Linked DNA regions of Cricetulus griseus. The protein of the gene in region 1 interacts with the protein of each later gene in a pairwise test. Links are inferred from orthologs where the notes say so. Each region holds a gene or a part of one and is shown in the gene's direction. Other genes may lie near its edges.

What was found.
Region 2: the proteins of Rel (region 1) and doublesex- and mab-3-related transcription factor 3 interact in binary tests that used the Homo sapiens proteins (3 or more experiments, as listed by UniProt). The two-hybrid records come from large-scale screens. The link is inferred for Cricetulus griseus from reciprocal best matches to the Homo sapiens genes REL and DMRT3.
Region 3: the proteins of Rel (region 1) and Eif4ebp1 interact in binary tests that used the Homo sapiens proteins (3 or more experiments, as listed by UniProt). The two-hybrid records come from large-scale screens. The link is inferred for Cricetulus griseus from reciprocal best matches to the Homo sapiens genes REL and EIF4EBP1.
Region 4: the proteins of Rel (region 1) and Pih1d2 interact in binary tests that used the Homo sapiens proteins (3 or more experiments, as listed by UniProt). The two-hybrid records come from large-scale screens. The link is inferred for Cricetulus griseus from reciprocal best matches to the Homo sapiens genes REL and PIH1D2.
Region 5: the proteins of Rel (region 1) and Otub2 interact in binary tests that used the Homo sapiens proteins (3 or more experiments, as listed by UniProt). The two-hybrid records come from large-scale screens. The link is inferred for Cricetulus griseus from reciprocal best matches to the Homo sapiens genes REL and OTUB2.
Region 6: the proteins of Rel (region 1) and Cggbp1 interact in binary tests that used the Homo sapiens proteins (3 or more experiments, as listed by UniProt). The link is inferred for Cricetulus griseus from reciprocal best matches to the Homo sapiens genes REL and CGGBP1.
Region 7: the proteins of Rel (region 1) and Glyctk interact in binary tests that used the Homo sapiens proteins (3 or more experiments, as listed by UniProt). The two-hybrid records come from large-scale screens. The link is inferred for Cricetulus griseus from reciprocal best matches to the Homo sapiens genes REL and GLYCTK.

Annotation. Positions count from the first base shown.
Region 1 is NW_023276807.1:83,034,704-83,038,203, forward strand, and holds part of Rel (proto-oncogene c-Rel), read left to right. Parts: intron 1-1,094; coding exon 1,095-1,861; 3' UTR 1,862-3,500. UniProt on the Homo sapiens protein: Proto-oncogene that may play a role in differentiation and lymphopoiesis.
Region 2 is NC_048596.1:35,690,677-35,694,935, reverse strand, and holds the start of doublesex- and mab-3-related transcription factor 3, read left to right. Parts: upstream 1-1,459; coding exon 1,460-1,922; intron 1,923-4,259. UniProt on the Homo sapiens protein: Probable transcription factor that plays a role in configuring the spinal circuits controlling stride in vertebrates.
Region 3 is NW_023276807.1:56,580,683-56,583,285, reverse strand, and holds part of Eif4ebp1 (eukaryotic translation initiation factor 4E-binding protein 1), read left to right. Parts: intron 1-2,310; coding exon 2,311-2,490; intron 2,491-2,603. UniProt on the Homo sapiens protein: Repressor of translation initiation that regulates EIF4E activity by preventing its assembly into the eIF4F complex: hypophosphorylated form competes with EIF4G1/EIF4G3 and strongly binds to EIF4E, leading to repress translation.
Region 4 is NC_048597.1:162,383,639-162,387,890, forward strand, and holds the start of Pih1d2 (PIH1 domain-containing protein 2), read left to right. Parts: upstream 1-1,452; 5' UTR 1,453-1,590; intron 1,591-2,522; 5' UTR 2,523-2,550; coding exon 2,551-2,727; intron 2,728-3,715; coding exon 3,716-3,839; intron 3,840-4,252.
Region 5 is NC_048598.1:102,678,348-102,681,847, reverse strand, and holds part of Otub2 (ubiquitin thioesterase OTUB2), read left to right. Parts: coding exon 1-48; intron 49-420; coding exon 421-615; intron 616-1,589; coding exon 1,590-1,796; 3' UTR 1,797-3,500. UniProt on the Homo sapiens protein: Hydrolase that can remove conjugated ubiquitin from proteins in vitro and may therefore play an important regulatory role at the level of protein turnover by preventing degradation.
Region 6 is NC_048597.1:28,615,514-28,618,061, reverse strand, and holds part of Cggbp1 (CGG triplet repeat-binding protein 1), read left to right. Parts: intron 1-698; exon of another isoform or gene 699-701; 5' UTR 702-718; coding exon 719-1,222; 3' UTR 1,223-2,548. UniProt on the Homo sapiens protein: Binds to nonmethylated 5'-d(CGG)(n)-3' trinucleotide repeats in the FMR1 promoter. May play a role in regulating FMR1 promoter.
Region 7 is NC_048597.1:214,362,164-214,366,140, reverse strand, and holds the start of Glyctk (glycerate kinase), read left to right. Parts: upstream 1-1,177; 5' UTR 1,178-1,315; intron 1,316-3,580; 5' UTR 3,581-3,619; coding exon 3,620-3,977.

The DNA of each region.
Region 1 (3,500 bases):
TCTTGATCCACAGGCAGCAGAAGCAACTGGGTGTCACACTGGGTGTAGCTTGAGCATATTAGACTTCACAGCCCACTCCCACAGTGACACACTTCTCCAACAAGGCCATACCCACTCCAACAAAGCCACACCTCTTAATACCTCTCACTATGAGCCAAGTATTCAAAATGTATGAGTCTATGGGGCCATACCTATTCAAACCACCACAACTAGTAATTTTACTAATTGCACTGTATCATGGAAGAAATGATGTGGATATAGTAGGCACTTGTTTATAATAAGTTTCACTTGAACATAACTGCATTCCTTTGTTACATAATGTCTCTTGTTGCCTTTTTAATAGTGCTGCAGTAGGACTTCATGCATGCTGACCATGACACAGTCCATGCCAGACCTAGACTCCCTTTTTTTTTTCTTCTACTGCAACAACAGAGCTGAATAATTCCAGTGGAGGCTGCTCACCCCACGAATCTTAAAACTATCTGGCCTTTGATAGAAGATATTTTATGAGCCCCTGACAAATTTTCCATCTCCTTTCCTTAAATTTATCCTGGTTATCCTGGTTTAACCTGGTTTATCCTGGTTCACATAGTACTTGTGTAATATGTCAATAAATAAGTTTTTATGATAGGGAATTTTATAGTAGTTTAGGGTCATATCTTAGTCTTAGTAACTGTATTTTTCAGTTTTTTCTAATGAATGTCTTCTCCATCTCTCCATTTTCTCCTGAAAGTAGAGACTATAACATGATGTAGGCCGTTGGATACCTATTTCCTGAAATTCCAATATTTATCTTCTATGTTTTAAAATGCACCTATATGACTCAAGAAGCTGTATTTTCATATTTAACTAGAAGAAAATTACATATACCAAGATAACTTTTAAAAATCATTTTCATGTGTTTATAAAGCAATTTACATGTTATGAATTTAGTTTTGATTTCATGTAATAATTTCTGTGCTTTAATTTTTTTTTATTTGAAATGTATCAGTTCCCTGGAAATTTTTTAGTGTGTTTTTATAATCTCAATTCAGAAATAATGCTTTACATTTATTTGTTCATCTTAATTTATAAAATACATTTTTCTTCTATAGAATCAAACTTGTTTTCTCATGGTACACCTATGCCAGAAATGCCCAGGCCTTCAGGAGTTTCAAGTCAAACTGAACCCTACTATTCTTCATCTGTGCCCATCTCAAGTGGATTGCCACATCACCCACCAGCCATAGCCTCAGTGGTCTCTCCACCTTCAAGCTGGTCATCAGTGAGCCACCCCACCTCACACTCAGCCAATACAAACACATTGAGTAGTTTCTCAACAGGAACACTTCCCTCTAATTCACAAAGTATCCTTCCGTTCCTAGAAGGGTCTAGTGTGAGTGATTTAAGTGCTTCTAATGCTTGCCTTTATACTGATGACCTAGCTAGAATGGAAGCGTTATCCATGTCACCAGCTGACTTATATGGTATTTCTGATGTCAACATGCTATCTAATCGCCCTGTGAATGTGATGACAACCAGCAATGATAACATGGGGGACACTGATAATCCAAGACTTATGAGCATCAATCTTGAAAATGCCTCATGTAATTCAAGGTTAGACCAAAGAGACCTGAGACAACTACATCAGATGTCTTCTGCCAATATGTCAGCAGGCACCAGTTCTAATTCTGTTTTTGTTGCACAGTCAGATGCATTTGATAGATCAAACTTCAATTGTGTAGAAAATGGCCTGATAAATGAGCCTGGACCATCAAATGATGCAAATAGTCATAATTTTGTTCCGAGCAGTCAATATTCAAGTATTGACACTCTGCAAAGTGAGCAATTGAGTGATTCCTTTGCATATGGTTTTCTTTAAATGTAACCTGTAGGATTTAAATCTAAAAAAAAACTATTAAAACTTTAGGTGTATAGAATATAAAGGGAACATTCAAAATTAGAAACTTAAAGAGCTGTACTGTTTTTTACTTTGAGAGATGCCTAAAGTACATGTGCTTGGTGTGAACTGTTCTTTCAAGTTTCCTCAAGACAAGCTGTGTGTCTTTTGTAATGTATTAATGTACTAGTTAAATGAATTGATATTTGCTTTCAAGCAGATTTAAGGTAAAACATGTAATGGCTATGCCATTGTGAAATAAACTCATTATTGTTGAGGCCCATAGGCCAAAGTGACCCCTATGGGGTTTTTGGGGGCTTCTTGGTATTTTTAGGTAGGTGTGTGTGTGTGTGTGTGTGTGTGTGTGTGTGTGTGAGAGAGAGAGAGAGAGAGAGAAGAGAGAGAGAGAGAGAGAGAGAGAGAGAGAGAGAGAGATTTCAAGGGATGGAAGGTTTTTTTTTTCTATTTTCTATTATTTAGACTCATACTTCTAAAGTTACTTAAGAAATTAGTTGTATATCTGTATTTTCAAGAAAAAGATATTTTCTTGAGCCTTTCTGTATTAGATTCCCTTAATATTACAAGTTCAAGGTCTGCCTGGGCTACATAGTCAGTTCAATACCAGCTTTCAGTTTATGAAAATCTTGTCTCTAAGATAAAAAAGGCTAAGGTTGTGACTCAGTGGTAGACTTTGCTTAATGTTTCCAAGACCTTATGTTCAACCCCCTGTAGAAGGAAAAAGAAAAAATAACAAGATTTAAGTTTTAGGTCAATATGTTGAAGCCTGAGTTTTGAACTTATCCCCTAGACTTGCTTGTCCTTCAGTCTCACCAGCCCTGGAAATTGTCATGCCGTGCTTCTAGCTGCTTAGGTAAAAACCTTGATGTCGCCCTTGATTCATCTCCTAAATCTGTCAATACATCAGCAAATCTAGAAGATCTTTCCTCAATATTTATTTGAAGTTAACCACCTCTTTTGAACTCTTGGTTGAGACAGGGTTTCACATCTCTCAAGTTGGCTTCAAACCTGCTATGTAGTCAAAGATGGCCTTGACCTTCAGATTCTCCTGCTTCTGCCTTAGAAGTGCTAGGATTACAAATGTGCACCACCACACCAAGTTTATGTAGTTTCTGGGGTATCAGTGATAGGGCTTTGCTTAGAGAAGTGCCTACCAATTGAGCTCCATGTCCAGATCAGACTAATTGTAGTAATTTTGTATTAGTTGGCACTGATAAACTCAGACACAACAGTTTTCCTCTAAGTTGAACTAAGGTACATCTACATCTGTGTTTAGCATATTTTCAAATGGTGATTTATTTTTGGGTACTGTTTACTGATCACAGAACTCATTTTATAACTTAAAATGTGTTCAGCCATGTTTTCCCCCTTTCTCCCTAATTGCATTTGTATTTCACTTGGTTTTGAGGGAATGGGCCTTCCTACCCAAACTCCACCTTGTGCACTACATCTTTCCTCCATTGCCAGTGTCCTTATGTCCCTACTTAGTTCATGATTTCATTGTGTAAACAGAACAAATATCTTTTTGGGATTAAAAGGAAAGGGTGAAAACATCCCACAAAGTAACAAACCCTACCCATACCATGCCCCTTCTTTTCACTCC
Region 2 (4,259 bases), on another chromosome or scaffold:
GATGTACCTTGTGTTTTGTTTGGTTGTTTTCTTGGTGGGGTGGGAGAAGGCAGCTTTCTCTGTACGAATGTAGTGGTAGCCGGTATTAGACAAACTTTAAACAAGCAAAGAATAGTAAACAAAGTTGATGCTATCAAGAAGAAAAAGGTTTATGCGGCCATCTTATACACGAGCCTCTTCCCACTCTCAAAGAATTTTTTTTTTTTTTTAATGAGTAGGATCCATCCCTTATCCGAAAATAAATCACAGTGCCTGTGGGGATTTGAACTGGGCAATTCCGGAGCTTGGTTGTTGATTCAGTGACCGTTGCGGGAACAAGTAGATCATGCTGGGTAACTTGGGGGCCACTAATGTGTCTTCTACCTCCGCTCCCGGAAAGTTAAACCATGTTTAAGGGAAACATCCGAGAGAGCACTTCCAGGCCTTCCAAGGCAGAGGTCTTTTAGGGCAGAGGTGGTTGTTTATTTTAAAGACAGAATGAGGTGGTAGGAAATTAAAATTACCCAATCAAACGAGTTGTCTTCCTTAAGCTTGACAGATTTTTTTAAAAATTAATTTTCTTCTGCAGCAACGAAAGAGAAACCAGATTGCAAAACGAAATGAAGAAAAGAGTCCCCCAAATTTCCGAACCATCACTACTCCTCTCACTCCTCTTGTCGGGTACTTGAAACCTGGTCCGCCTGGGGCCGACCTGCCGTGCACCCTCAATTCCCTTGCAAGCTCCGAATTGCTGAGGCCAAGTGTGGGTCTAGGACTCCGTGCTTCCAGACCAGGCCTGGAGCTCGGTGAGTCGGTAGCGGAGAGGCCTGCCTGCCTGCTTACAAGTACCCACCCCTCCCGCTATCCCCCCCCCAACCCCTCCCCCGTCCAGCAAGCCGGGTGTGCCGCTGCGGCTCAGTCCCTCCCGCCTCGGGAAAGGGTAGTGGTGGGCATGGAGGAGGGGGGCTGTGAGCGCCCCCGCCAGAGAGGCCCGGTTGGCTGCAGGTGGCGAAGAAGGTGAGGTGCAGGAACCCGAGGGGTGCTAGGGAGGAGGAAAGAGTGTGTGGGGAGTGTTTGGAGGCTGGGACCCCGGGGGTGGGGGTGGCGATGGGAGGGAGGAGGGACAGGGTGGGGGAGGGCGACGGAGGAGGTGCGGGCTCCTGCCAGAGAGGAAGGGAACAGCAGAGGAGCTGGCTCAGACCTTAATCAGAGCTCTCACCGGCTCCTTGCAGCGGCTGGAGAGTCTGGGCTAAGGAGGACCAGCGGGTGGAGCTTGCGCCCTCAGGGGCAGCAGACAGAGACGCGGCCCGCGTGCCACCAGCCAGGCGGTTCAGGCTGCGAGCGCCTCCGGGGCCGGGGAGACCGCTGCGGTACCTCCGGCTGCCGCCGATCTTCCGAGACCCCCGGGAGCAGGCCTCCCAGCTCTGCGGTCCAGCTACTGCCTCCCTGCTCCTGCCGCCGGCCGGGGGGAGCCCCGGGCATGAACGGCTACGGCTCCCCCTACCTGTACATGGGCGGCCCGGTGTCGCAGCCACCGCGGGCGCCCCTGCAGCGCACGCCTAAGTGCGCGCGCTGCCGGAACCACGGGGTGCTGTCCTGGCTCAAGGGCCACAAGCGCTACTGTCGCTTCAAGGACTGCACCTGCGAGAAATGCATCCTGATCATCGAGCGGCAGCGGGTGATGGCGGCTCAGGTGGCCCTTCGCCGGCAACAGGCCAACGAGAGCCTGGAGAGCCTCATCCCGGACTCGCTGCGGGCTCTGCCGGGGCCCCCGCCGCCGGGGGACGCCGCTGCCGCCGCCTCGCAGTCGTCGCCAGCCTCCCAGCCGTCCCAGCCGCCGGCGCCGCCTCGTCCCGCCGCCGAGTTGGCTGCAGCTGCCGCGCTGCGCTGGACCACCGCGGAGCCCCAGCCCGGAACGCTGCCCGCGCAGCTCGCCAAGCCAGGTGAGAGCGTCTGCTAGGCTGGGGTCAGCCTCGAAGGAGGAAACTTCGAGTGCCCTTGGGGATCCGTTTGGAAGGCGAGGGCACGTTTGTAGGAAGTTGACCTGATTGGGCCTACATCCCCAGCAGACACTGACTCTTACTCTCCGGGAAAAGTGAGTCTCTTACAGAGTCTGAACCCGATGCAGGTGGAACCCAGGAGCCGGCCAAATATCCAGGCTGTATGTCCCTGTCTCCTGGTGCCTTCTCTGGGCTGAAGGGGAAACTTAACGTCAATTCTACAAACTATTTGTAAAACGAAATCTGGGGAGGGACCGCTTTTAAATGCACCATGATGAGGCGGGTTTTAGGGGGGCTCTCATTTAGGGGTAGGGATAAATAGGTGAGGGTTAGCAGTTAGGGCCCAAGTGCTTTGCTGTTTCTAGGTGAATCTTGGCTTGGCCCGGGACACGGGAGCAAAAAGGCGACATCTTTAACTTAAAGGAGCTCGGACATTGTAGCTGGGTTGAAGACTTGACTTAAAATTCGGTAAAAAAACAAACAAACAAACAAAAAAAACAAAAAGAAAAAGAAAAAAAGTCGCCTTTTAAGAACTGTAGAAACTGTAGATAAAAGGTTCCTGAAGTCGTCAAAGCGAGACCAGCTAACTCTTTTTGTTGAATTACCTCTTTGGTCCTTTAATTCCTTTCCCCAAGTTGCTGTGATTTGAAGAAATTAAAAATAAAACTTGGCCTACCTTGGGGAAAACTTAACAAGTACTTTTCCAGGTTTAGGCAGGCTCGGCCTGCTGTGAAACAAGGGAAAGCTTTTTGGGCCTTCTTGCTTCCCTCTGTTCTCTTTTACTCTCAGAAATGCTTTTATTTGGGGCGTGGTGGTGGTGGTGGTGGTCTGAGCCCTGAAAGTACGCAGACCCCAGTTTCTACCTAATTCTGTCACCCTGGCTCCTTCCTGAGTCTGGCTGCCCCCAGTTTAAGCCTCTTCCCCACTTTCCTCAGAAGGGAACCGCTGGCTTCTCTGCGTGCCCCTCTCAGCAGTGGGAATTCAGTGGACTTGAGTCTGGTGTTTCCCCTCACTGGGTAAACGTACAAAGGCAACAAGCCCATCTCCTCTGAACCGGTGTACTGAAATTAAAAGTGAAAGGCCCACAGTTTTTCTGTTGATAGAGCTGCTGCTACCACTTCCTCAGCTCCTCAAAGACAGCTAGATCTTCTTCAGAAAGGTTTTCTAGAGCCCCAGAGTGCTGAGCTCAACTGCTGAAGATATACACTCCCTGATGTGTGGTGAAATGGTAGGCCAGTCCCGCCTTCTGGCTCAGTTAGGGTATTTAGGCCTGAAGTTCGGAAAGCAGGTTGCTGACCGGGTTTTGTGGATATTTAACTATAAGGGGAATATAAGCATTTCTCTGTAGCACCGCCCCCTCATCGCCTCTTATTTGTGGATTTGCCTTGGAGAGTCTAGAAGGATTCCTTCAGGTGAGAACAAGTAGGAGAGTTTGACCTCAGTTCTAGAAGTGACTCCATGCTACTATCTTTTAATTTTCCATTCCAGTTTCCCTGGCTCTAGGACTAGAGTCTTCCAGGGTAGAGCAGAAGGATGAGTTACAATTCAATTCTGCATTTTGCAATGCCCATCTGCCCACCAGTGCCTCCTGTAGTGCAGGAACCTTGAGTTCCATGGTCTTTGTTCAAGAGGGGTTCCTTCAGCATCGTATGGTCCTCCTCAGATTGGTCTCCAAAATGTATAGTCACAAAACCTAAAACAAGCTGAGAAAGAATTGGGCAAAGGCACTAGGGGGCCAAGCTGAAGCAACAGCGGGGTTCAAGCTTTAGGAGAATAAAAGGGGGCAAAGAATTTCAACTGCACAAACCAGACTTGGGGCTTGTTTTCTCTCCCTCTGCTTCCACCAAATACTCAGGGATAGCTGGAGCCTTCCAAATTGAGAACAATTAATTGGGAGGGGGAAAAGGTAGAAGAATGACTTCCAGAGACTAAGCTGTGAGGGACCAAGGGTTCAGTTCCCAGCTGGCCACAACTATGTACCTTGAACATTCACTAACTTTTGTTTTCGTTTATCAATTGCAGTCCCTTAAGAAAAAAAGCTTGGGAGAGGTTTATAAACTGATTATAATTTTCCACTACAAACACAAATAAATAAGTGGGCTGGTTCTATGCAACACATATAAAAAGCAACTCTGTCGGGAGCCAACACTAAAATTAATTAAAGTAACATTAAAATGGGGCAGTCAAATTAAAACTCCTGGCTAAGACCGCCTGTTGCTGTGTTCCCGTACTTTTGTGCAGAGTATTTGTGTGTGACATGCCATGCATTTTTAGAGGTAG
Region 3 (2,603 bases), about 26 Mb from region 1:
ATCTCCTCTGTGGAGAGGAAGCTCAGTCAGGAACTCCAGCGGCCTGCCTCAACTTCCCTAGTTGGTTTTTGCTGGATGTCATGAACATCTGGTTTGATGATGTTTCCTCTGCTTCAGCTGTGACTCTGTTGGGAATGCCAGCTAGCTGCCTTAAAGTCAATTTCTGCTGAACATTTGGCTGATTTAATAATGTTTGTGTCTACCCGTCTCTCTCTAGCTATTTATTCTTTTACTTTGGCTTACTGTATACTTACTCATTTAAAAACAAGAGTATTCGTAGATCCTTCTCCAGGTAGCACCAAACCATCATCCAAGCCAAGAAAGGCATTTGTTTAAATAAGTGGGACAAGTGGCAGCAGCACGTGTGTGGACATTTCAGGGGCTGTCAGTAGTTCTGTCCTAATCTCAAGCCCAAATTGATTGAATTAAAAAATTATTTATTGAGAGAGGGAGGGAGGGTGAGTGAGTGAATATAGGTGTGTGTGTGTGTGTGTGTGTGTGTGTGTGTGTGTGTGTGTATGTGTATGTATACCCCAGCATGCATATGGGGGTCAGAAGACAACTTGTGGGTGTTGGTTCTCTCCTATCATGTGGATTCCTGGTTTTGAACTCAGGTCATAAGGCTTGGTGGCAGGTGGGTGCCTTTGCCAGCTGAACCACCCAGCTAGCCCTTAATTTATTTTTTATTATGTGTGGTATATAGCATTATATAATATGCAATTTATGACATATAGTCTCTATTAAGAAGAAACTGGATGCCACTACTGCATTTGAGAAACCAGATTTGTCATCTGCAGATGATAACTATAAATAGAAATGTAAAGACAGTTTTTAAATTCCAGCTGGATGCCATTGTCTGCTAGAGGCTTGGAACCTAAGACTTGAGATTGGCTGAAAAGGAGGCATTCAGTATGTGCTGTTGAGGGGTTAAAAATAAACCATTGATGCCATGCTGCTGTGTTTGAGGCCGCAGGGAGCCATGGATAAGTTCGTCTGCTTACTCTCACCTCATGGGTCTCCCATTGTCTTAGTTAGGGTTTTTATTGCTATGAACAGACAACATGACAACAACAACTCTTTCTTTCTTTCTTTCTTTCTTTCTTTCTTTCTTTCTTTCTTTCTTTCTTTCTTTCTTTCTTTCTTTCTTTCTTCTGAGATAGGGTTTCTCTGTGTAGCTTTGAAGCCTGTCCTGGAACTCCCTTTGTGGACCAGGCTGGCCTCAAACTCAAAGAGATCTGCCTGACCAAGGCAACTTTTATAAAGGAAAACATTTACTTGGGGCTGGCTTACGGTGCAGAGGTTCAGTCCATTATCATCACGGTGGGACATGGCAGTGTTCAGGCAGACATGGTGCTGGAGAGGTAGCTAAGAGTTCTACATCTTGATCTGTAGGCAGCAGAAGAGACCTGTGTGCATACTGGGTGTAGCTTGAGCATACGAGACCTCGAGTCCTGCCCCTACAGTGACTCACTTCCTCCAAAGGCCACACCTCCTAATAGTGCCTCTCTCCATGGGCCAAGCATTCAAACACATGGGTCTGTGGGGGCCATTCCCATTCAAACCACCACACCCATAATGGTCTTGCTCCTTTACTTTGGGAAATGCTCCCTTATATGGTGTTTGGGAAGCTGCGAGGGTGGAGGTGAAGGGTTCTGAGTATGGTTTACTGATGGAGAACAGTTCACGGAGATTGGCCCTCACTGGGGAATAAGATTAACTTGTGATAGGAGGCTGGGTAGGAGGATGGCCTTCATGTCAGCCCTTACAGGGGTGATGCGGGTAGATATAGTGGAGGTTTGGAGAAGGGCCCAGCCTAAGACCTTTTTGGAGTATATAGAGTGTTTCCTGTTTCTGCAAAGACTGGGCAGGGAGAAGTCTCCTGATGCTGGGCGTGATCCACTGTCTGTTCTGGATGAGCCACCTACTGGGGTTCTGCAGGTTAGGGTGTGATGACTACAAGGCCCCCCTTTCTGTGGGATCTCCTTGTCATGTGTAGTTGACAGGAGGAGCTGGGGGGGTCTGTAGAGATTGCATAGGATGTTCAGAGCTCTGAGAAAACAAAGGTGCGTCTTGGTAGCCAATAAGCACTCTGTGAGGGAGGGGCACCCCAAGTGGTGTTGGAGTGGGCAGTGGAGTAGGGCTGTGACCAGGTTGGTCAGGTCCCTTGGTCAGCCTTACTACCCTTGATCTAGGGTTGTATAAAGGAACCTGTTACCTCTGCTATGGCCATACTTCCAGGAAGTGGAAAAGACAACAGGCAGGGGGTTCTGGGTGACCCTATTAACCTCTTTATTATGTTTCCCCCACCAGGAACCAGGATCATCTATGACCGGAAATTCCTGATGGAGTGTCGGAACTCACCTGTGGCCAAAACACCCCCGAAGGACCTGCCAGCTATTCCTGGGGTCACTAGCCCGACCAGTGATGAGCCTCCTATGCAAACCAGTCAGAGCCATCTGCATAGCAGCCCGGAAGATAAGCGGGCAGGCGGTGAGTACTGGACCCGTCCAGGCCCTGTGAGGGGAGGAAGCTTGTCCGTTTTCTCTGAGAAATTCCAAGTTTCAGGGACGGGGGCGATAGTGGGGAGCCTAGAGGGTGGGGCA
Region 4 (4,252 bases), on another chromosome or scaffold:
ATATAAACTACACTCCTGTGTGTTTTAAATTATGACTTTTTATTGAGACAGGGTCTCCCCTAGCCTCAGTGAGCCTTGATCCTCCTGATCCTCTTGCCTCCACCTCCCACATTCAGAGACAACATACATGCACTTCCACACTTAGGGTGGGTAGGGTATCTAGCTTACTTATTAACACCTAAAACTATGCAACTCTTATGTAAAAATGTTACTATGCAGATCAGAAATAATGACAAAGGGGGGAAAAGGTCTGTACATGATAAGTACAGATGCAATCTGATTACCCAAACATTTTCAGTTGGCTGTTATTTGAACCTGTAGGGATTCCCGAATTTAGACTCTATCCCCACTCCTATTTTGAAAGTCAAGATCCTTTAAGTCCCTCGGCCCCAGGGCGAATAGACCCAGGCAAAGGATGTATATCAGTATCCAAGTTAGAAATCAAATCTCAAACTCCCCAAAATCAGTTTGCAACTAAGCAAACATCTAGATCTGCGGGTATCAACATCACATATGTCAACAGCAATAAATACTGAGTTCTAAAAAAAAAAAAATTAATGACCTAAATATCTCTATTCAGGACATTTTGTTTCCTACAATGTTTGGAACTTTCCGAAACCCAGAAGACAAAGATATTCACATGTGTAGCTACGAGGGGCTTGGTGCCACCGTCCGGATGCTCACTCACCCCTCGATCCTGAGGAAATCAGGCATCTTGTTAGTGTGAGACGAAGAACCACTCCATTACAAGATCTCCTCCGACCCAGGAAGCCAAGGAGTCAGGGCTGAAAGGCAGCTCTGCAGCTTCACCCGAGTCCTTCGTGAAAACGCAGCCTTCCCACCGGTTACAGTGCCCTCACCCGAGGCCCAGGCTACGGCTGCCTTCCCCCAGCCGAGCCCGCCAGGCGGCTCTCTCTCCGGGACCAAGGCCAGAGCGGGCGCAGGCGCGGAACGCGGCCTGCGGGCGGGCCCGGGCATTCCCCGCTCTCGCTGGGCTGGGACAGCGCCCGGCGGCTCGGTTTCACTCCCGGGACAGAATGGGGACACAGGGCATGGACGTGGCCTTCCGTTGGGACCCGGGAAGTGTCTAGGGTGCCTGAGGGGAAGCTGGAGGTTTCCAAGGGGAAGTCGGAAAAAACACCCCCATGTCTGTCAGCGGGCTCCCTGCCCCGCCGCGGCCTCGGCGCTCCCGGCAGCCTTCCCTCGAAACGCCCTCCCCACACAAACACACACAAACACACCCATACCGTGCGCCGCAGCTTCGCGTGGCGGGGTGGGAGAAAAGGCGGCGGCTTCCTTCCGGGCCGGAAGTCGTGCCCCCGAGAAACGCTTCCTCCCCACGGGAGACTCCCTGTGAGCGGGCTCACGGGTCTCCGGGGAAGCTGACAGGTGCAGGAAGGAAGCCGGCACCCTCCTGAGAGGGAGCGGGACGGCCCCTCTGAGGAGCCAGTCCGGCGCTGGAGAAAAGATCCGGAACGGGATATGGAGCCGGCGTTCTACTTTGCACTCCCCGGACACAGTTAGATGCTGTACCGGACCTGGTTACCATGGTAACGGGAGTCGCGGTTTGTCTAGACACTGACTGAAGAGGTGGGTTTCCCCACACTGGGATAAGTTGTGTATTCTTTGTTTATTAAATCTAATCTTAATGCACGATTTAAAGACTCTAAATCTCTTTTTTAAATATTTTTGTGGACCGTTTGGGACACTTCTCCGTTGCGGGAGGAGAGTGATGATACGATCTTAGAATACTACTCGTACATAATATTTATCAAGTGTTCCCGCTTTAAGTATTGGCGTTCTTAGGCCTCGTCTTCATTTTGAGAAGAATAGGTGTATATATATACATTATTTGCTCAATGCAATATAGCTGCCTGTAGTTAGGAAGAACTTAAGCATACTGGCTCCAGTGACCCTACACCTCACACCCCCCACTCCCAGTTTTTTTGAGACAAGGTCTCAATATGTAACCCTTCCTGTCCTGGAACTTGCTCTGTATACCAGTCTGGCCTCGAACGTACATAGATCCACCTGCCTCTGCCTCCAGAGTGCTGGCATTAAAGGTATGCACCACTGCCCAGCTCAGTGTTCCTACTTTTAGTTATTATACTAAGGACTAATGTGCCTCTGTTTCTTTCTTTCTCCCTCCCCTCTCCCTCTTACACACATACATACACACACACCACTCATAATTTCAGGGCTGGGAGACACCAAGTCAGCCAATATTCAACTATTGGAACAATATCAATAGGAAAAACAAGACTTAAAAAGACCTTTCTGTTCCCACTGTGTTTGTGAAGGCCAGAGAGAGGTACAGGTACAAGGTGGGAATTTAGGAAGTGGTTAGACTTACAGGCTGTAGAAGAGCCAAGGTAAAGCAGAGTGGTTACACAATCTTTTAGACATAGGAAGTAAGAACAGTAAAGAGCTTCCCCAAAACAAAAGCCCCCTCCTCTCCTGAAAGAGGAAGTAAGGCCATAGCCACACAGACATGTATTTTCTCAAGTCGTGTCTTTCCACAGGTTCTGGAGGCCTATCTCATCACCAATCATGAGGGCATCCTCAAAGGGCCTTCTCACCCAGATTTCCCAGTTCTGGAATATGCTCGACGATTTGGCTGAAAATGATCCTGAGCGCTACAAGAACTTTATTGAACAGGAGCTAAAAGATGGAAAAAAGCTCTGTGTGGACCCAGAACCACAATTCTGCCTACAGACCAAGATCCTAGTAGGTAGAATTGGCGCAATGATGATCTGTGTTCAATGAAACTACTCCAAGATACCTTACCCTTCTCTAGTGCTACTTTAACACAAGAGAAGTTTATTAAAATTGCCTCTCTAAACAGAAACTGAAACAGTGTGGAAGGTTTCACTGAAGGAGTAAAAATGAGAAATACAGAAATATGCAAATGAGGCCTTATTGCCCTGTAGAAAAATAGTGATATACTGAATTAATATTTTTATTAGTTCAAATTAGGAACAAGCTTGCTTCACATGTCAATCCCTTCTCCCTCTCTCTCCCCTCCCCCAGCCCCCCCAGCCCCTCACCACATCCCCCCTCCGCTCCCCAGGGATGGTAGGGCCTTCCAATGGGGCTCCCCAAAGTCCAACACATCATGCTGGGTTGGGCCTAGGCCCTTCCCCATGTGTTCAGGCTGAGAGAGTATCCCTTCATATGGGATGGGTTCTCAAAGTCCCTTCTTACACCAGGGAAAAATACTACTGATCCACTACCAGGGGCCCCAAAGAGTGCCGAGGCCTCCTCGTTGACATCCACATTCAGGGGTCTGGATCAGTCCCATGCTGGCCTCTCAGACAGCAGTCTGGGGTCCATGTGCTCCCTCTTGTTCAGGCCAGATGTTTCTGTGGGTTTCACCAGCCTGGTTCCGACCCCTTTGATCTTCATTCCTCCCTCTCTGCAACTGGGTTTCAGAGTTCAGTTCAGTGTATAGCTGTGGGTGTCTGCCTCTGCTTCCAACAGCCACTGGATGAGGGTTCTCAGGAGAGGTCGGGGCGTTGGAGGGGGAAGCATGAATTAAGTTTTTAAAAAACAGTTTCATTACATTTTATGTGTGGGTTCCAGAGAGTGCATTTCAAGGACAGTTGCCTAGCATTTGGGAAGGCCTGAAAAAAAATGTGATGACTTGCATTTGGAATATTACCAAATTTTATTTTAAAAAAGCCATTTGACAATATCAAAATTATTTACTTCCTAGAAACCAAAAGAAAAAATACTTTTTGTCAACCTATGTCAATGGAAAAGGATCATGGCTCCCCAGTCAGCCACTCATCCTGTACCTGTATATGTTGGCAGACCAGAAGATATCTCTGAGGCATCAGGTATAAAGAATTAAAGAATGCATGCATGATTTTTTTATTGAACATATTCATAGACCAGATTTTACTTGGTAAAAGATTTTAAGTAAAATATTTAATTTTACTTAATTAACAAATTAGTGTACTTTATGCACATTTAATATGATTTCTAATAATATGATCTGCTTTCAACCCACATAGAAATGCCAACATGGAATTGGAATTTAGTGTATACGATGTGTTAGAACAGAGGCCTGCGTCTATAGGCCAGATCCTATAGCCTGAATCAGGCCTTGCCTCCCTGCAGCTCTCTCTGAGACAGTTAAGAATCAGTCTGTTGGGGCTGGAGAGATGGCTCAGCAGTTAAGAGCACTGGCTGCACTTCCAGAGGTCCTGAGTTCAGTTCCCAGCACCCACATGGCAGTTCACAATTGTCT
Region 5 (3,500 bases), on another chromosome or scaffold:
CTGGCTGCTGGCTTTGAGGAACACAAGTTCAGAAACTTCTTTAATGCTGTGAGTTCACCTGAGCCATACTGGCCTTCCACAAGGGCAGAGCAGACAGGAGCAGGCAGGCTGGAGGTCTTCGATCCACCCACAGCTGTGCAGCTTTGTTCTTAGTCCTCCCACCTGGGGCTGGGGCAAGGCCATTCCCTGCTGCTTGGGGGTATATGGGTCAAGGGGACCTCAGTTTGGAGGACTGTCAGCATCGTTCTGCCATTCTGAATATATGGTAGAAGGAGACTCAATGCCAGGCCCCTAGATGTGCCTCGGAGCCTCAACACTAAGACTTGCAATCTCAAAATGAGCTCTGAGGAAGTCGTGTGTGGGGTGGGGTGTGGGGGACAGGTGCTTGCTGGGGTCTATTCTGATGGTGGCAGCGTGAAGTTTTACAGTGTGGTAGAGCTGGTAGAGAAGGACAGCTCGGTGTCCAGCCTGCTGAAGGTGTTCAATGACCAGTGCTGCTCGGACCGGATCGTGCAGTTCTTGCGCCTGCTCACATCGGCCTTCATCAGGAACCGAGCTGACTTCTTCCGACATTTCATTGATGAGGAGATGGACATCAAAGACTTCTGCACTCATGTATGTCCCTAGGGTCGTCCTGTAGCCCCTGGCCTAGGCTTTGCTTGTCTGTCTCTTACACATCCCAGGACCACTGTTTCTGCCCAGAGGAACATCCTTGCAATGTCAGCTAGCAAGGTTAGCACCTGGAGGCATCTTCCATGAGTGGCCTGAGCGCCGAGGCTTGAGCAAGCAGCTTGTATTCCCAGGGAATCGCCTATCTGGAATCTCAGGACTGCTCTGCTGATAAGCAGCTGAGTGGCAGCTCCTGTCATGCTAACCCTAAGATGGGCTTTTGTTTAGATAATATTTATCTGAAGGAGTGGCCCACATGTAAGGAAGTGGACAATTATGGCTACTTGGATTTTTTTTTTTTTTAATTAGGAGGTACTGGGCCCTAAGTTGGACGGCGACTACCAGTAGGCACAAGAACAGCTGCCCTCTTTGGGGTACCTGCCACCATCTCTGCCTCTCTGTTGTCTCTACAGCAGCAGGACTCACACACAGGCTCTGGCCACTGCCAAGCACTTATACTTGGAAGCCTTTGATGACAAGGTCCTCTTAGTTCTAAGTTCTGATGCTAGCCTAAAAGATTCCTCCCCTTTTGCACATTCCTTAAAGGGTATGGAATAAAAATGGCTCAGGTTTGCGGCACACCTTTAATCCCAGCACTCGAGAGGCAGAGGCAGGCAGATCTCTATGAGTTCGAGGCCAGCCTGGTCTCCAGAGCGAGTGCCAGGATAGGCTCCAAAGCTACACAGAGAAACCCTGTCTCGAAAAACCAAAAAAAAAAAAAATAGGTTCAGGTTCATTTTCTGCAAGCCCTGTAGTCTCTGTGTTGCTTCCATGACAGATGGTTATCAGCACCTGCGCTCACATGTGCTTGGGAAGAACCCCCCCACCCCACCCCCAGCACAGGAGACCATGATCCTGAGAGCCAGGGTTTCACTCACCCTCCCCGCGCCCCTCCTAAGTGTTTCATTTTGGCATTGCAGGAAGTGGAGCCCATGGCCATGGAGTGTGACCACGTCCAGATCACAGCTCTGTCGCAGGCACTGAACATTGCTCTGCAGGTGGAGTATGTGGATGAGATGGACACAGCTCTGAACCACCACGTGTTCCCTGAGGCTGCCACCCCTTCCGTTTATCTGCTCTATAAAACATCCCACTACAACATCCTTTATGCAGCCGAAAAACACTAATTTTAGGCCATGCCGGAGCCTGTCATCTAATGGACTGCATTCTGAATGGAACATTCTGCCTTGGCAATTTTTTAATTGATTTAGACAACTAGAAACATACAGCCTTTTGGGTAAAGCCACTGAACTGAGACCTGTGCCCACTATGGACTGTCATGACTTAATAGGAATTTTAGTATTTATTTTGATAGATGATGTAATGCCTGCTAACTCTGGACCAGAAAGCCAGGAACCCTATGTATCCGTTTACTGTAAGAACCTCGTTGGACCTATTTATTTATCTGGAAGAGGTTCCTGGCAGTGTTGACATGCCGCTGTGTAAAAATGGGGAAATCCGGTTTATCCTTAACAGGGACAGTAGCCTTCATAGGGGGGGAAAAAAAAAAAAAAAAAACTCAGGTCAGCTGTCAAATTCAGGTGACTCACCAGACCTATGAAGAGTCCAGCCCTGCTATGTATGTTGGGTGTGTAATGGTAGACAACTGTCTGAATGTGAGGGGCTTGTGTGGAGTTTCCTTCATGATGGCTGTGCTTTCCCATCCATTGGGGGGTGGGGGGAGAGGGAGTGGGGGAGAGAAAACATGAGAGACTTTTATACCAAAGTCAGAAAAGGGTTTTAGCCTTCAGCATGAAGCTCAGGTTGTGAAGTCCTTCTGCCTCAGGGCCACAGCTCTTGACTTTGAAGACAGGCCCTTCAGAGTTTGGCTGTCAGCCCCACTTGGATAAGGCTTGACAAAGCCGAGGGCTTGTACCTGAGTCAGTGTTTATGTCTGGGACTGGGGAGCTGCATCTGCCCGCCCATCATCTCCAGTGAATTCTAGAAGTAGGGTCTAGGTAGTCAGCTGGGTAGGGGTGTGTACAGCCTGGAAACAGGAAGAGCAGAGCACAGGGTCTGCAAGGCTCTTCAGTTTTCCCCAGCCCAACTTTGTAGGCAGCTAGGCATAAAAGAACAGACAAGCCATACAAGTTGGCAGCAGGGACGGTCCCAATGCTGGCAGCAGCCTCTTCGTCTGCACATGCCCCTTAACAGCCCCTTACTCGCCTTGCTGCCACCCGAGGACACTGGGGGACAATCAGCCTCCAGCTGGCCTGAGGCACTAACTAGCCATGCCTTCCTCTGTAGGACAGCCATGGAACCACCCACTAGTACCCTTCCTTGGGTGCAAGGTTCCCTCTCAATGTTTCATTCTGCAGGGCTTAAGACTTGTGGTGCTACAGTGAGGGTCTGCCAACAGTCTGCACACAGGACCAGAAGGATCCAAGTCTTAAATCTCACATCTGTATCTTTTCTTCTGCTTGGTGTAAGCCAAAAACTCCCAGATGTCTGGGCAGTGTGGAAACCAAGGCCAACATTTAGATCCAAGGGCCCCAGCTACTGAGTCTGTCACTGACACAGAGTATATAAATCTGACCTTCATCTTTTGTTAAGTGTCCCACCCTGATCTGGGTAAGAGTGTTTGTGACTATGACAAGTACCCTGGAAGAGCAGGCACTTATTTCCGTGACTATCTTCAGCCAGACTATTCTTCACTTCCAAGCTGAATGTATGAACATAGGATGCCTGCCTGGGCTGCTCCAAGGAGTTCAGATGGGTCTGGGAACAGGACAATGGGAACTTGGGAACATGCTAAAACCTGGCTGACCACAGCGATTTACTGGCTAGGCTACAGCAACAAATCATGCTAGCACGCCCACTTTCTGAGTGAC
Region 6 (2,548 bases), on another chromosome or scaffold:
AAGTTCGTACATAGTTGAGGTCTCAAAATCCGTTTCCTAGCAAGAAGCTCTTTAACTTGAACACATCTTACTTGGGTGATATTATTGCCAAATGACCCGTAGAGGCGTGATTATGGTGTCTCCCTACACGATATTAGTATTATTAATAGTCTAACTGTTTACTGTTATTGGGGTTTTTTAAAAGATAGCAATGTCTAGAATAATTTAAGTTACTTAGAAATCTAGTTTGTCATAAAAGCCAGAGTGTTGGGAAGTTAGCGTAGTAAGTAGGTGTAGTACTTCCTGTACAAGTCTTTGGGCCTGAGTTCAGATCCCCAGCATCTGTGTAAAAGCTGGTCCCAGCAGTATGTATCTGTAATCCCAGTTCTGGGTACAGTTAGAGAAGCTATTCAAAAAATTAAGATGTGCACATAGGCATATACCACAAGGAATTGACCTAGCTGTTTGCTGCTAATTTGTTTTAGCTTTCCCTTCCTTGAATATTTCAGATACAGATTTAAAAGACCTCAACCTACCAAATTGAATTAAAGAGTTTTGGGGAATGCTAGGGATCAGTGAATTAAGTTTGGAATTGGGGGATTGGTTTTCTTCAAATCTTTACTCTTAAAAAAGCATTTACAACCCTACCTTTTATTGTTAATCACTTCTAGAATTTGCTGTTGTCATAGCACTAACGTTATATCTTTCTTTTGTCTTAGAAGAGCCTTACTCAGTCAAAATGGAACGTTTTGTAGTAACAGCACCACCTGCTCGGAACCGTTCTAAGACTGCTCTGTATGTGACCCCTCTGGACCGAGTCACTGAATTTGGAGGTGAGCTTCATGAAGATGGGGGAAAACTCTTCTGCACTTCTTGCAATGTGGTTCTGAATCATGTTCGCAAGTCTGCCATTAGTGACCACCTCAAATCAAAGACTCACACCAAGAGGAAGGCAGAATTTGAAGAGCAGAATGTGAGAAAGAAGCAGAGGCCGCTTACTGCATCTCTTCAGTGCAACAGTACTGCGCAAACAGAGAAAGTCAGTGTTATCCAGGACTTTGTGAAAATGTGCCTGGAAGCCAACATCCCCCTGGAGAAGGCTGATCACCCAGCAGTCCGAGCATTCCTGTCTCGACATGTGAAGAACGGAGGATCCATACCTAAGTCAGACCAGCTGAGGAGAGCCTATCTGCCTGATGGATATGAGAATGAAAATCAGCTCCTCAACTCACAAGATTGTTGACAAGGCAGTTATGACCATTGTGATCAAGATAAATAATGTGGAGTATTAAAGTTAATGTGTTGATTGTGTGGTTCATTTTTATATTTATTTCATTTAAAATCATGTGATACAGAGTAGTTTTGCAATGTGTATATAGTTGCAGGCAAAAGAAAAAAAAAACCTCACTGCAAAACTTATTGCTAATTTTAGTCATCGATGATATAAAGCAAAACTTAGCTGTAGAGTGTATTAGGATATCTGAATCCTGGTGGTTATCTTTAAAACTGATGGGTTTTCTCCTGAAATGTTTGTGCATGGAAGAACTAACTACCCTGAATTGTAGCCCTGTTGCCATGTATGATTATTTCTTGTGAGGTTGCTTAATTGTTTGGGTTGAGAACTAGCCTAGAAAATTGAAGCTGCTGCCAGGCTATGCCCATCACAGGAACTTAAAGAAGTTTGAGTTCTCTTCAAAATAGAATGGAAGGCGGGAAATCTTAGAGCTTGCGATCTCTAGGAGAAATAACTGTTCAAACTACATTTTATTTGTATGTGAAATAATTGCCTAACCTTCACTTCCTCACCATCTTCTTCACCTTTTTAAAGACTTGTACTTAGTAGCAGCTTCAATGACCAAAAGACTAAAGTCTCTCTTAATGTCTTTGCCAAAAGCCATGGGGGATTTTGCAGTGATAAGATTTTAGTCTCGAACTATGAACACAAATTTTGAACCATAGTTTTCATGTTAAATACCATCTTGGATTTATGCCTTGGTATTAAAAGACTACAGGACTGATTTTTTTTTTTTTTTTTCATTTAAATAACTCTGTGGTTCAGTTTCCTCTTTTAACAGGGAATTAGTAGTTACTTTTTGGCTGACAGCAAATAAAATTGCTTTCTATACATTAATTTTTCCATAAGATTTTATAAGAGTTTTTTTTAGGTAAATAGACTAGAAATGAGTTTTAGTTTGACTTTTATTGCTTTGCCTCTGGTGATATAGGTTTTAAGACTTAGATGCTAAACAGTTAGAAAATGGGGCAAGACTTTTGTAGTACAGATAAGCAGGATGCTGCTTAGCTGTTGGAGTCAGAAAAAAAATCAGTTCTGTTAAAGGTCAACCATGTTTAGGTTCTCTGAACTTTACTGTTCTGTAAGCTTATTAGAAGTAATTTAGCTCAGATAAGTCCTCTTCATCAGATCCAAATTATATTTTTTAAAAGTTTAGTAACTGAGACTTAGTTAGAGCTTTAATATAAAAATAAAAAAATCACATAGTTGAAAACATTGAAGTTATATTTCTATTGTAAATCAGTGGCAAGATGCCCTGTGTGACTTGGAGTTATC
Region 7 (3,977 bases), on another chromosome or scaffold:
ACCCAAGTTTAAATACACCATTGCCATTCCCAAACTATTCACAAGATGCATTTGACAGGAAGACGACTAAGTCCACTGGACTGTAAACTCCTGAATGGTATTGAGTTGATTTGAAACTGGAATTTCCCTGTCCCCCCCATTCTTCCTTCTTTTTAAGATTTATTTTTATGTACATTAGTGTTTTTTGCTTGCATGTATGTCTGTGTGCAGGTACCATATCCTTTGGAACTGGAGTTACAGGCAGTTGTAAGCAGCCATATGGGTGCTAGGAATTGAACCCAGGTCCTTTGGAAGAGCAGTCAGTGCTCGTAACTGTTGAGCCATCTCTCCAGCCCCACAACCAGTGAGTGCGCTTAACTACTGGACCATGCCTCAGCTCCTGTCTTTCTTCTTCTTCTTCCTCTTTTTTCTTTTTAAAGATATTTTTGAGACAGGATCCCACTGGGTTACCCAGACTGACATGGAACAGCATTGTCTTCAGTTGCAAAATGGAAGGGATTTCCTAACAGGAAAAGAGATATTGCTGAGTGGAAGAACTGTCAGGAAGCAAGATTCAGAGTAGCAGGTGAATAGGTGATTAAGCTTCTCAATTACACAGTAGTACATGCCTGCAATTTTAGTACTCAGGAGGCTGAGTAAGAGGATCATAAACTTGAAGAAATATAGCCTAGGCTACACAGTGTGTCCGTGTGTGTGTGTGGTGGGGGGCAGGGCAAAAAACAAAACAAAACAAAACAAAACTTTTTAAGGAAACATGTTTGAAGAAATTCTTTCCATCAGAAAAAGTGTACTCATGTTTTTGGAGTTCAGCCAATAGTTATTTTTGACTGGGTCATAGTGGACACAAGGTAGGGAGGTTAGCACTTGTTGTGTTCAAAGATCATGGAACAGAAATCTTTCGCTGAATTAGCTGTATATGGTAGCTCACGGAAGTGTGGTAAACATCAATGCATTGTCATGGAATTTAACTATGCGGAGGGGCAAGGACGACCTTAAACTCTCTAGAGGGGTGGGTTGCAGCTCTCTGATGGTTCAGCCCGGTGTCTGGCATCTAACAGGAATTCGGGGTGTACTTAATGACTGATTTTTATCTAACAGGACGAAGAGGGAAGGATCATTACAAACCACCGAGAATCCACTGCAGGAATACAGAAACCGGAGGGCTCCATACACCTCTTTTCAGGTTTTCTGGCGGTCAGAGAGGCAAAGCTCTAATCCACGAACCTGGTCTCCAGGAGTCCCGACCTGCCATTTCCGGGTTAATCCCCACCCACCCAGAATGTTTCCGGTCTTCAGCGCTGGAAGCGGCAGAAAGGTAAGCTTGCGTCTCAAGGGCGTACACGGACCTTGGAAGTCATTCCTGGCCCAGACGGAGGCGAATCCAAGCGAAAGCAGTCCTTTAATTTTTGCGACACCCAACACTGCGCGGCAATCATTTTCCTTGCGAAGATTACAGGCCTCGGGCAACGTCACTTCCGGTCATCTGGCCGTTGGCCAAATCCGGAGGTGATGTCAGCTCCACTTCGTTTCGGGAGGAGTCAAGGCTGCTCTTCGCACTTCCTCTTTTAGCAGCCCGAGTGCGCCGCAGCTGGGAAGGTGTAGTGTCTTAAATAGAGTTGGGGATTTGACAGCTGAAAATGCAAGTCGTCCAATTAAATTTAAGCTCACCACAATGTAATTTTTAGTTACAAATAATCCCAAATGTACTGATCATATTTATACTAGAAAAATTACTTATTGGAAATAGAGATTTCACCAAATGCCCAGCATTTTATCTGGCAGTTTTGGCCTTGAGCTTTCCTTCGTCCTGGATTCTAATAGAGATCCTCTAGGCTTTTGCTGCTCTGTGAGATAGACAAAGTTCACCTAGGGCTGAGTATTGTATGTTTTAGACGCTAAGATGCTCCAAGCCTTGGGGATGGATGGATCCCTTGCATGAAAACCGGGCATGTTTACAGACATCCCATGGCCGGTGCCCTTTGTATTCTTTTTCACAATACGTCTAGTTTTTTTTCTTTTTCTTTTTCTTCTTTAAAAACTAGCTGTGAACTATACCGCTAAACGGCACAGGTCTCTGGAAGTTGCACGGTATTTAGGAGTGAATAAATTGTTACCCACAGTTTTCTCTGTTGCATTGGACAGAGCATCAGAAAGCCTGAGGTGTCAGGCAAACAGGAGTATCAGCCCTCCACCGCCATGGAGGATTCCATGACTTCATGCATGATAGACATGATCTCTCCCACAGAACAACACTTTTCAAGTTCCCTGAAAGAATTAGGCTTAATTTCATCCCACCTCTCATCTTGCAAATGAGAAAAGATACATTACACTTAAAAAAAAAAAAACCCAAAACAAAAACCCCAACATCCCAGTTCCTAGACTACTTCCTCTTCTATCCACGCTTACTGATACAGTTGTCTTTCAGCACAATGGTAGGCATTTATTATAGTATCTTTTTTAGGGGCTTTAATGTGTCTCAGTGATATGGTAGAGTGCATACTTGTCACATACAAAACCTGGGTTCAGTCTCCAGTATCTCTCTGTCCCCAAATTTAGATACCTTTTTACAGATGAGTCCTTTGGCTTCATTGTCCCCTGTATTTACCCTGTATAGCTTCCTGACCTTTACCCCAAGACCTCTCTGTTTTTCACTCTGCCCAATAGGGAAAATGATTGTTTGGGCATAGTTAGGAGCCTGGCCTTTGCCTGCTCCAGCACTGGGCTGTTTCTGCACTGAGTGGTGTAACTCAGGGCTTGTTTTGCTATCACGCAGCCAGGAAGGGGTGTTCCTGGCAAGGCTGACCCTGACCAGCTGTGTGGGTAGAGGGACATCTTTTCCTGTGCTGTAGATTGAGCTCAATAGCAATGTCCTCTTGCATATGACCCGAGGACTTGTCAAACAGTCTCACCTTGAGTCAGATTTTGTAGCTACTCCTGATTTGTGCCTGGACCTCTCATTGAACTGGTCTGTGTGCTGAGAATCCTCAGGTTGTGTGCACTGATAAGCCTGCAGCCTTTCTGCATAGACCCAGCATTCCCAGAATAGTCTTATAGCTAATGAAATAGATCAGGCTAGAGGTCAGTGGGCTTGGGGTCAGTTGGTGAGACAACCAACAGCCCCCCCTCTCTGTCAGCAGTAAAAGGGGTGAAAAGGTAGGGCAGATATGCCAGAAAGGGGCACTGCCTTGGTGTGAGGACTTGGAAGTAGAGTGTGTGGAAAAAGAGTGTGGTTCAGGAGACCACTGGGAGGAATAGCTTTCTTTGTGAATGATTAACTCCCAGCCAAAGGGTGACCCAGGAGGAGGGTCCACTTCATAGGAACTTTGGACTTGGGGCAGAGTGTCTAGAAGACTGGTGTGTGGCCTACAGAAGAGGAGGACGTGACTGGGCGTCAGGGCTGGGCTTGCAGAACTGGAGTAAGATCAGGTTTGCTGCAGGCTTCAGGAGTTCTTCAGCTTTCATTTCAGGTGGCTCATTCTTGCAGCAATGGCTATGGAGTCCACCAGCCCTAAGCTCTCAGAGGGGTGGCCATGATGGTGGGATTCTGTCTGCGGTCTCACTCATTCTCCTCCCTCTCTAGGCAGCTATGAACACAAGGCTATTCTGAAAGAAGTGGGGCATGGCTGCAGCCCTACAGGTCTTGCCCTCTCTTCTCCGAGCCCCGTCACGTCCATTCTTCTGGGGGCCCCCGGTGGCCCGGATGTCCAGTGGTATGGCTTTGGCAGAGCAGGCACGGCAGCTGTTTGAGAGTGCTGTGGGCGCTGTGCAGCCAGGTCCCATGCTGCAAAGGGCACTGTCCTTGGATCCTAGTGGCAAACAGCTGAAGGTGCGGGACCGGAGCTTCCAGCTACGAGAAAACCTCTACCTAGTGGGCTTCGGCAAGGCTGTGCTGGGCATGGCAGCTGCAGCTGAGGAGCTGCTGGGCCAGCATCTTGTGCAGGGTGTGATCAGCGTTCCCAAGGGGATCCGGGCTGCTA